Linked DNA regions of Arabidopsis thaliana. The protein of the gene in region 2 interacts with the protein of the main gene of each other region in a pairwise test. Each region holds a gene or a part of one and is shown on either strand. Other genes may lie near its edges.

What was found.
Region 1: the proteins of HTA2 (region 2) and YAB5 interact in a two-hybrid assay, tested with the Arabidopsis thaliana proteins (one large-scale study listed by BioGRID).

Annotation. Positions count from the first base shown.
Region 1 is NC_003071.7:11,302,931-11,309,248, forward strand, and holds YAB5 (plant-specific transcription factor YABBY family protein), read right to left. Parts: upstream 4,081-6,318; 5' UTR 3,810-4,080; coding exon 3,738-3,809; intron 2,820-3,737; coding exon 2,700-2,819; intron 2,052-2,699; coding exon 1,943-2,051; intron 1,852-1,942; coding exon 1,803-1,851; intron 1,697-1,802; coding exon 1,621-1,696; intron 1,062-1,620; coding exon 993-1,061; 3' UTR 989-992; intron 881-988; 3' UTR 525-880; downstream 1-524. UniProt on the Arabidopsis thaliana protein: Promotes adaxial cell identity. Regulates the initiation of embryonic shoot apical meristem (SAM) development.
Region 2 is NC_003075.7:13,636,541-13,640,370, forward strand, and holds HTA2 (histone H2A 2), read right to left. Parts: upstream 1,896-3,830; 5' UTR 1,786-1,895; coding exon 1,597-1,785; intron 1,182-1,596; coding exon 975-1,181; 3' UTR 696-974; downstream 1-695. Other genes in the region: AT4G27220 (NB-ARC domain-containing disease resistance protein), read right to left, coding at 1-196; AT4G27240 (zinc finger (C2H2 type) family protein), read left to right, coding at 3,620-3,830. UniProt on the Arabidopsis thaliana protein: Core component of nucleosome. Nucleosomes wrap and compact DNA into chromatin, limiting DNA accessibility to the cellular machineries which require DNA as a template.

The DNA.
Region 1 (6,318 bases), on a different chromosome or scaffold from region 2:
AGTTAGATAAATGCATCAAAATGATAAATAGGAAAAACACCAAAAATATTATTTATCAATTAAATCAATCAATGAAAATTGTTATAACTAACAAATTAGGATAAATGAGAGTCATTTATTCGAGAGTGAACTCATGTGTATAAGTAAGTATAAGAATTAGAACTAAAACCGAATCTCAAATCTAAAGTACTAAAGTATTGTTTCCCTGTTAGAAGATCCGAAAGAAAAAATTTATAAGGACTTCTTATACACCATCAAAGCTTTGAAAATCAAAAAGAAGCTTGGTCAGTATTTTGGAGTCAAATATAATTAGATCTCGTGTATATGATTCAGAATAAGAATTAGAACCACAACCGTATCCCGAAAGCTAAAATAATATTTCCGTGTTACAAGATACAAAACCACTAACTCATAGGGAATTTGCTACATCGTAATTAGATCTCGTGTGTATGATTCAGTATAAGAATTAGAACCACAACCGTATCCCGAAAGCTAAAATAATGTTTCCGTGTTACAAGATACAAAACCACTAACTCATAGAGAATTTGCTACATCGTTAAAGAAAAAAAATACTTATTGTAATATTTACTATTTATAATTCAAGTATAAGATAGGTTTACCATAATATAGATTACATATTTTTTATTTTAGATTCATATATCCGAAAGAACTCATAAATCTTGTGAGACGAACCATACAACAAGGGCCATAGAAATAAATTAAAAGAAGCTTTTACTAAATTATAACTATAGATGGTTTTAAAGATAGACATCTTCACTTACATACATACGGTTCCAAAGATCATACAATACATATAGTTGCCTTCTCAGCTCTTGTTACTTCGAAGTCTCCAACACTTATATTACCATTAATCTCGAGACTAAAACAAGACAGATAAAAGTAAAATTTATGTTAGTTTACAATAAAAATAAAATTTATAACTAAGGTGAATCTCTAAAACAATTGATGAATAGAACAGAGCACTTACATTATTAGGCTATCTTAGCTTGCTTGTTACTCTCCAGCATTAGACCAAAGTGAATATGAGGAAAGTGTGCCCACTACAAAGTGTGAACCCAATTTAATCAGAATATTACTAAATCTAGTTTTCTTCAAAGATGTCAAAGCCCAATCTTTTATCAGAGTTGTATAAATTTAAGATCATATAATTATTCTTATTTTTAATTTAAAATTGGTACCCGTGATTAACTTTCTACACAACTCGTATGAGTGACTCGATATAAACTTATTAGAAAATTATATATATACCTATAATATTTAAATCCTAGAGAATAGAGTTAAATTTATTTATTTACAAATTTGTTAAGAATGTTCTCTACGTGTTTAGTCTTAAAATATGTTTTCAAACACAACTCATAAAATTAAATGGAGTATCTTCCAAATCATAAGGTCTCCAAGTCGAATTTGTAAAAAACTATAAAAAAATAAAAAATAATAATAATAAAAAAAACATCTACTATGACATATGTACTATAATTAAATAAGGAGGCCGCAATAATTCTTTATTGGTTACTAAAACTTAAGATATTTCTTTTGGCTAAAAAAAGCTTATAGTACTTTATAAAACTGTTTGAACATATAAAAGAAATAAAAACTTACATTCTTGGCAGCAGTGCTGAATGCTTCTCTGTGGCTTATGTCTGGATTATTCGCCTTAATCCTCTGAATTTCCTCTCTTCAAAGGTTTTAATATAAACACACAAATCAATAACCTCTTTCTTAACAGATTTGAACATTATATAGATATATAGATATATGTATGTCTAAAATGTTTTTGTTACTTTATGAATTGATTGTACGCAGAAGGTACTCGCTGCCGCTTCTCCGGAGCTGAAAGACAATATAATAATTTTAGCATATACAGTACACAAATTACTTTTCATGTTTACTTCTTTAGGTTTATATAGTAAGCAATACTTACGACGGTTTACAATCCGTTGCTCAGTTATGGTACGAGTTGAAATTCTTGAAGGGATTTTTGTGTGGCTTCTTGAGGAGGATCCATACTCTGGTACTGCATAGTTTGTTGCCTGATAAAAGTATAAATGCTAAGAAGTTTAGAGTATTTAATCACTTGGCCTTTTCTTTGATTTTTCAGACCAAAAATGGTGAATCAATAGGATTGAGTAGCAATCATGTATGTATTGTCTAGTTTCGGAAATGAAAAGAGAAAAAAGAAAGTGGACCAACTAAAAGATATTTCATTCATATTTAAGAGTAGTTAAAGTCTAAAAGACAAAACCTTTAAAGAAAGGAATCTGATATATATATTTTATAGAAAACAAAACAAACCTATGAAACCAGAAACCCTAACATTCATGTCAATCAAATCATAGAGTAAGTAACCGACAGCAGTAATAGATCAAACAAAAGCTAGGGCTCTATGAAGAAAAAGCAATTACGAAAAGGCTGCAGATATCAGTAACAGCTGGAAAAATAAACTTAAACATGACTTGAAAAGAGTAAAATATTTAAGTAATATTAAATTCTTTGGGGCTATGTAGATGTAGACGGCGGCTGGAGACAGAAACATGCAACTAGAGGCTCAGATTTCTGTCTATCATTCGTTTTTCAAAACAAACAAAAGAGCCCTAAATTTCAGAGGGTTGGTTCAAGTTTTTTTTTTTTTTTTTTTAAATTTACAATAAACCCTTCACAATTGAGGAGAGAGATGTTACCTGGAAATTAGGGCGTGAAAGCGACTGAAGAGCAGCTGCCATGTTTACAGACCACAGATTGGTGCAGTGACCGCATCGGACGGTCACGATGTCGAACAGGCTGCTGCATGGGACATTCACCTACACGTTTTAGCCAAACACAACCTCAAATATTAATTAATTGATCTTCTTTCTTGGAAAATTGGATCTGTTTACTAGATGATCCATAAGACATAGATCGACGAAAAGCTTATACTAAAATTTATGCTACTAAAATTTGTTATAAGATAATTATCATTAGACAAGGGAGAAAAAGTTGTTGCTTGTCTTGTTAATATAGATCAGATATTCCTATCATTTATGGGTTTTTTTTTTTTTTTGGGTAACATGTTAAGTTCTTTATGGGTTTAGAAGGCAAAATAGAAATAATGCAATCTAATCTTATGACATTAAACAAAAGTAGTTGCTTGAGAGATGATTATCTTCTCTTTTGAAGTTTTGCTGTAGCCACCATTTAAGATCCGGAAGTGACTCCATTTTCAATATGCGCAATTTGTTATAGATTAGTGAATAGGAACACACATATTTTTGACAAAAAAAAAAAGAAAAGGAACACAAATATATGCATGGCCATTTTAAAATAGGTTATCTTATGAGTCATAACTTAAAATGGTAAGTAAAATGCTCGTAATAGGATTTTCCTTTGAGGAAAGTAGGAAAAGAGCAGAAAATAAATCTATATGATGCTGAAAAAAGTCATGTATAGCAGAAGGATGGTGACTTCTCTCTGGCACCATAAGCTAAATGAAATATTTGTCACTGACAAAAATAAATTAAAACAGATTTAAATGAATAAGAACTTTGAACATTTGTAAGATAGTGGAACTGATGAAAAGAGCTTCACCACTCTTTATCAGAAACCAATATATAGTACAAAGGAAATTAAAGGTAGATCTATGCTTGATTATATCTTTATATATACGATATTTGGAGAAGCATAGATCCATTATATATAATATAACAGCAGATATAATAGATATATATGTATAGCAATTATACCGCAAGAATTATGTTGCAAAAGTTGCAAGGGATGTAGCAGAGCTGTTCGGTTGCCATCACAGAGTTAGCCATGATCGATCTGAGAAATAGGACCAAACAAGATGTTTGTGTTGAAGATTTAGATAGAAGAAGAGAGCAATTATATAGGTGAAAAGATATAGTCTCTCTCTCTCTCTCTATATATATATATATCAACCCGAACAGACACTTGCCTTAAAAACGGGTATTGTACTTCAACAACTATTCCAAGTGATCATAAAGGTAATTGAATAAATGGGAAGATAATACATAAGCCTAAGGAGAGGATGAGAGTTAAAGGGGCAAAATTATTATATGCAATGTGAAGGATTTGGGAATTTCCATGTAGGCTATATGTTCTATGTCTTTTAACGAGTAGGGTCCCTTCACTCATGGGGTTGCGTACCATAAGAAAAAAAAAAATTCTTATCGAAATACTGAGATGGACATAGTAGTTAAGTAATTTTTTTAAAAATGTAGTAATGTACCAGTTTTGTTATAACATTAGTTAACGGCAATAAAAAACGATATATTTTATTTAAAAGAGACGAAACTAAATGTTATGGAATAGATAAAAAATTGTAGAAAAAATATTTTCGTCAATGATTTACTATACATCGTTTATATCTATTATGGTGAAAATAAAATTACTAAGAAAAAAAAAAAATATATATATATATATATATATATATTTATGTTAAAGCAATTTACAAAATTTAAGTTCGATATATAATTCTTTTTAAAAGTGATGATTGCCTAAACAATATTTTGAATCATAATGTTATACAACCAATCCAGGGGGAGTCGGCTATATGCAAGATGTTGTATGTAGTAATGGAAGAATATTTGTATGCGCGAGAATATTGTATGTCGGCCTTCCTTCCAAGAACACTAAATTGAGATACTATAATATCGATGGTATAAAGAAAGATTGGTATATGAGAACGTTGATGACAACAACAGCAACAAAAAAGGTAGATGAGAACATTTCCTCTTCGACATTATTCGTGGGATACTTCAATCAAATTTAGGGTTGAATTTTTTCTTTTGTCGAATGTATGATTGTTTAGTAGACTAGTACTGCTGAATTATAAAAAGGTTGATTGTTTAAAACTTGGCATTTATGGTTAGCAATAGATGAAAATTTTACCTGTATTATTCATTTCTAAATCTTGAATATAAATGCAAATCAGAAATAAATAAAAAGCTACTCACTCTCTTTCACTTTTCCTAAGAGTATCATTAATTATAAACAAAATTCACACAAATTAAGAAAAAATTATGTAAATTTTCGAAGGTACCATTTAATAATACACTAAATAGTTTTATCATCCTAATTGATAAACTGAAATCAACATTTTCATATGATATATGGTTCTCTCTAATATTTTTTTTTTTAAGACTTACATTTTTAAAAAGACCCCAATATTTTTTTCATTCTTTCATATTAAAAATTGGATCACCAAATCAATAAAAAAATATATGAGGATGTGCAGACTCGTAAAATCTAGACAACTATTTCATAGAAATGGGGAAAGAGGAAAAAAAAAGGAGAAGAGTAGTGTGGCTACGGAAGGGTGCAAAAGCTGGGACCAGCATGAAAGCAAGTGGCCAAATGTTTTTTATATGCTTTCATTGGTAATTAACTTTTTGATATATTTCAGGTTTAGTTAGGGATGAGCCAAATGCTATTTTGGACAGCTGATTAGACATTAGGGTTTGTTAGAGTCCACTTCTTTTAGTTTGGATAACTGATTGGATGGACATTAGGGTTTGTTAGATAGAGAAAGGAAGAGAGAGTTCTAAACATCTGAAAAGTGGTAGACCTTTATACGAGTAACCCAAATAATATTTATATATATAAATTAAAGATTGTCTATTTCATCTTAGAAATAAATTTAAATCATGTGATGACTAAAAAGCTTCTAACTACACATATACAGTGTAACCTCTATAAATTAATACTCTATAAATTAATAACCTCTGTAAATTAATAAAATTTTCCGGTCCTGAGTTGGGACCAGTGTAAAAAGTGACACAAATCGATAAATTAATAAGATAATAATTGTTTTGAAAATTCTATGTAAATATATGTTCCTATCAATATCATAAATTAATAATTGTATAAATATATCAACTATATATATATATATATTATAAGTAAAAAAATTCTTTAAAATATATTTATAATATATTTTTGCTTAAATTCATATTTGTTCTTTGTTTGACTATAGTTTTCATATTTTATTGGATCAAATTTTTTGGTATTGTTTTCTAGACATTATTATTATATTTTACTTGTAACTGGTTCTAGGAAAATATTTTCTATAATGAAAAAAATCTTATAGAATTTTTTTAAAAGTTACCAAATTAGGAAAATCTCTCTATAAATTAATATTTATTAATTTATCGATAAATTAATACCTCTCCAAATTAATAAAATTTCGTAGTCCTAACATTATTAATTTATAGAGGTTTTACTGTAGCTAGTTTTTACTTGTTACTATTGTCTGTCTAATTTCTACTACAACCTTGACATACATCACAGTAGTAACCTAATTTC
Region 2 (3,830 bases):
TCAGCTCACCAAGAGGCACATTCTCTTCGACCTTTCTTAGCCATATCCTCAGCTTTCGCTCCAAAGATTTCTCTTGGATCCCTGATCTCTTAAGAGCTTCATTCACCTTGGTCTGCACATTCTTTAGTCTCTCCAATGCTCTATTCAACGCTCTTGCGTTCGATCTGAACATGACTCTATGGGCTCTCGAACACATGCCAAAGATTATTTCATAGCCATTCAGGAACCAATAAGTTTACATGCGAGAAAAGGCTATTACGAGATCCATGACTGCTAAGTAGATCATTTCCATGCCATGACGCATCAAACTGGCATTCAGAGATCAAGGTAGGGGGGGTCTTGGTTAAAACCTGGAGGGGTAACAGAGTCTATGGACTAATCTTCTTTAGGATAACAGAGTCTATAGCCAATGACTTTCATCAACAATCTACTAAATTTCGTTTTATTGACATTTGCGACACAAGATATCGCCGAAAACGAAATTGAAATATACCTCATACGAGAGCTCTAAACCGAATCGTCCCTGTCTCTCTCTCTCTCTCGCCTCGATTCTCTCAATCTCGTCACTTCTCCACTGTCTATGTCGAATCGCTTGGTGGCTTGACTTTTCTGTGATTATGGGTCTACTGATTCTTTTTTTCTCGAGTTTTCAACCAAAAACAAAACAAAACAAAAAGTTTAAAAACAAGTTACATGTGACTATGTGTGCAGTTTCGTGTAGCTTATCGAAGGAATTTAAATTGACTTTCAGGAACAACAAATGAATCAGTGAACAATGCTAAAGAAGTGGAGTCAAGACTGAAATAGAACAATTTCTTCATATATTCACATAAAGTGAAACAAAGGTAACCTTAACAACTAGTACAACCACACAGCTTCCATTGCTGCAGAGGAAAAGCAAATGAAAAAAAAAACAATCCTAAGCATTATCTGATATCAACCAGTTTCCAGCTTTCCCTATCTTCGTAATGAACCTAATCTTCTTCAGTAGGCTTAGATGAACCAGCCTTCTTGGGGAGAAGGAGATTGTGGATGTTAGGCATCACTCCTCCATTAGCAATTGTCACATCTCCAAGCAACTTGCTTAGCTCCTCATCATTCCTCACAGCAAGCTGAATGTGTCGTGGAACTATACGGGTCTTCTTGTTGTCTCTCGCTGCGTTCCCAGCAAGCTCAAGTACCTATAGAAAGTGAGCGCACCAAATTCAGTTCCCAAGCAGACATGTTCACATATCCAAAGACAAAACTAAGTGAACAACAACATTTTTCGAATTTGAGAACACAATTGACAGTATCAATCAGTGCCAACTATGATAACTCAAAGTAGTAAGGAACAAATTTAACCCTAATTTCGATAAGCATGATGAGCACAAAGAAACACAAATTGAGCTCAAAACTACACAAAAAAAATGGACAATTTTTCCCAAGAAAAAAACAAACTAAGGAACTAATGCATTCTAAAATATTCCAAATTTCGCATAATTTAACGAAAGGGGTAAGAAAATCTAAAATCCAGAACCCTAGATGCAAGCTATAACCATTTAATTCGGTAAAAAGAGTAAATTAAACAGGTGATAAATAGAAGAGACTGATTACCTCAGCGGCGAGGTATTCAAGAACGGCGGCGAGATAGACCGGAGCTCCGGCACCAACACGCTCGGCGTACTTACCGGCTTTCAAAAATCGAGCGATACGACCAACAGGGAATTGAAGCCCAGCCTTGCTACTACGAGAAGTAGACTTCTTCGCTGCACCAGATCCAAGTTGTTTTCCCCGACCCGCCATTTCTCTCTACTACCCAAGATAGAAAAAAGATCTCTTAGAGGAGGATGAAGCGTAACTGAGAAATTTCTCTCTGTCAAAAATAACAATAATGAGTATCAGCGAAACCCGCCATGATGATTAATATAGTGGCGAGATAGAAAATATTTCTGACCAATGATATGACACTGCATGGATCGATAATCTACACCGTCAGATTGTTACAAGTTTAAGGGACGTGATTTGAGATTCGTGCGCCCACCTGCTTTGTCCTTTTTTTGGTTCTCCGATGATTTCAATGGATTGTTATATGGGCTATATTGGGCTTGTTAAATAGAAATACTCCTTTTTATTTTAACGTTATCTGGCCCAAAATTTAACACTGTTCGGCCCAAATAAATTGTTTCTTCACTTCTTGTACATATGTATTTTCCTTTTTATCAAAATTTCAAAGAAGTTAGGGAGAAGTTATAACTTACTAAGTGTTGTAATGATTATTGTTTGCTTTTTAGACGTATTCTTTATGTGGGTTTAAATTTGGATAATAACAGTTGCAAGTTGTATGACATATTGTGGTGGCTGAAAAGCCACAAATCTTCTCAGTTAGTAAGAACTCAAAAGTTGTAATATTAATTTAGACAACGTTACTTTCGTTGTTATCCATCTCCGGAGAAAACGTTACAATTTGTCAAAAAAGTATTAATGTCAAGCTAATTTCTCCGAAGATGGATAACAAAGAAAGTAAACCCAATGAGAGACATTTGAAAAAATGAGTGACGTGAACGTGGTGGGATGGTTATGATGTTAACAAAAGATCGGTGGATGTACAATACTTGAATTGTTCTTTAGTGTGTAGGATGTTGAAATGTCTTTAATGCTTGAAAATCACAACATAGTCATTATTCGTTTCATGACCTAAAAAAATCATTATTCGTGTTAGAAAGAAAAGGAAAAAGTAATTGGAAATTTATGAAAACAGACAGCTTTTTAGGTTACTGTAGAAATGAGAATTTTTAATACAAAATACTTGTTGGTATTGACAAGTCATACTTCCAATCTTTTTTTTTGTTTCTCGACTCGAATGCTTGTTCGAAGGACAAACACATATTGTGGAGGTATCGTTGTCCGACAGTATATGAAGATTTAAATACAATCCAAACTGCAAAAGCAAAACATATTGGAAGCATTAGATTTGGGAAATGTGAGATTGTACATACTTGTATTTTTAGTCTGAAGACAACCAAATCTACTGTGGCCTCGTGAATCAAATAGTACCATAGATAGCTAAGTTACCTAAGTACAATAACTATTGTCTTGACGTATCGAACAACATGAAAGAAAAATTCATAAGAAGTAAATACGAACACCATTCAAATTTTCTTTATATCCATTTCACACTATTTGTTCCATCCATTTTACGTTAAACCACATTGATTCCGACCTTATTCCACTTGGTTTGTTGTACTTTGCGTTGTGCTGTCCATATTCAAGACCTTTCATATTACCATCAACCCATGTATCCAATACATATGAATTTAACAATGATGAAGAAAACTAACATTATTTTGAGTCTAAAAACACTTTTGGGAGTATTTTCTTGTTTTCATTTAAATTTTCAAATTTTGTGTATCTTCTTATCTTCAGAGCTCTGACGACTCAATAATTATTTTTCCCATTCTCTTCACTATCTCTCTCCCTAGAAAATTGCCAGAAGAAGAAGGTTCTCCAATTCAAAAAAATAGAAACTCGCTACCATTCATTTCAAAAAATTTCTTGTTAAGTTACGTTTTTTTCTTTTTTTTTGCTTCTTTCGTTCTTATTGTCTTAGAAGACAAAAGAGACTAGAGAGGATAGAAAAATGGAAGCTTCAAGCACAAGAAGCGAGAAGAAGAAGAAGAAGAAGACGATACAGAGAGAAAACACCGATACTCAAAAGAAAAAAAAGCTACCCAGTGTTTGGTTTTCACTTAAGAAATCTCTCCCCTGCAAATCTGATGTCTCCGATGTCCACATTCCGAGATCCAAAAAAGAGCTAGCTCCCATATCCACTAAGAGAACAACAACCTCCT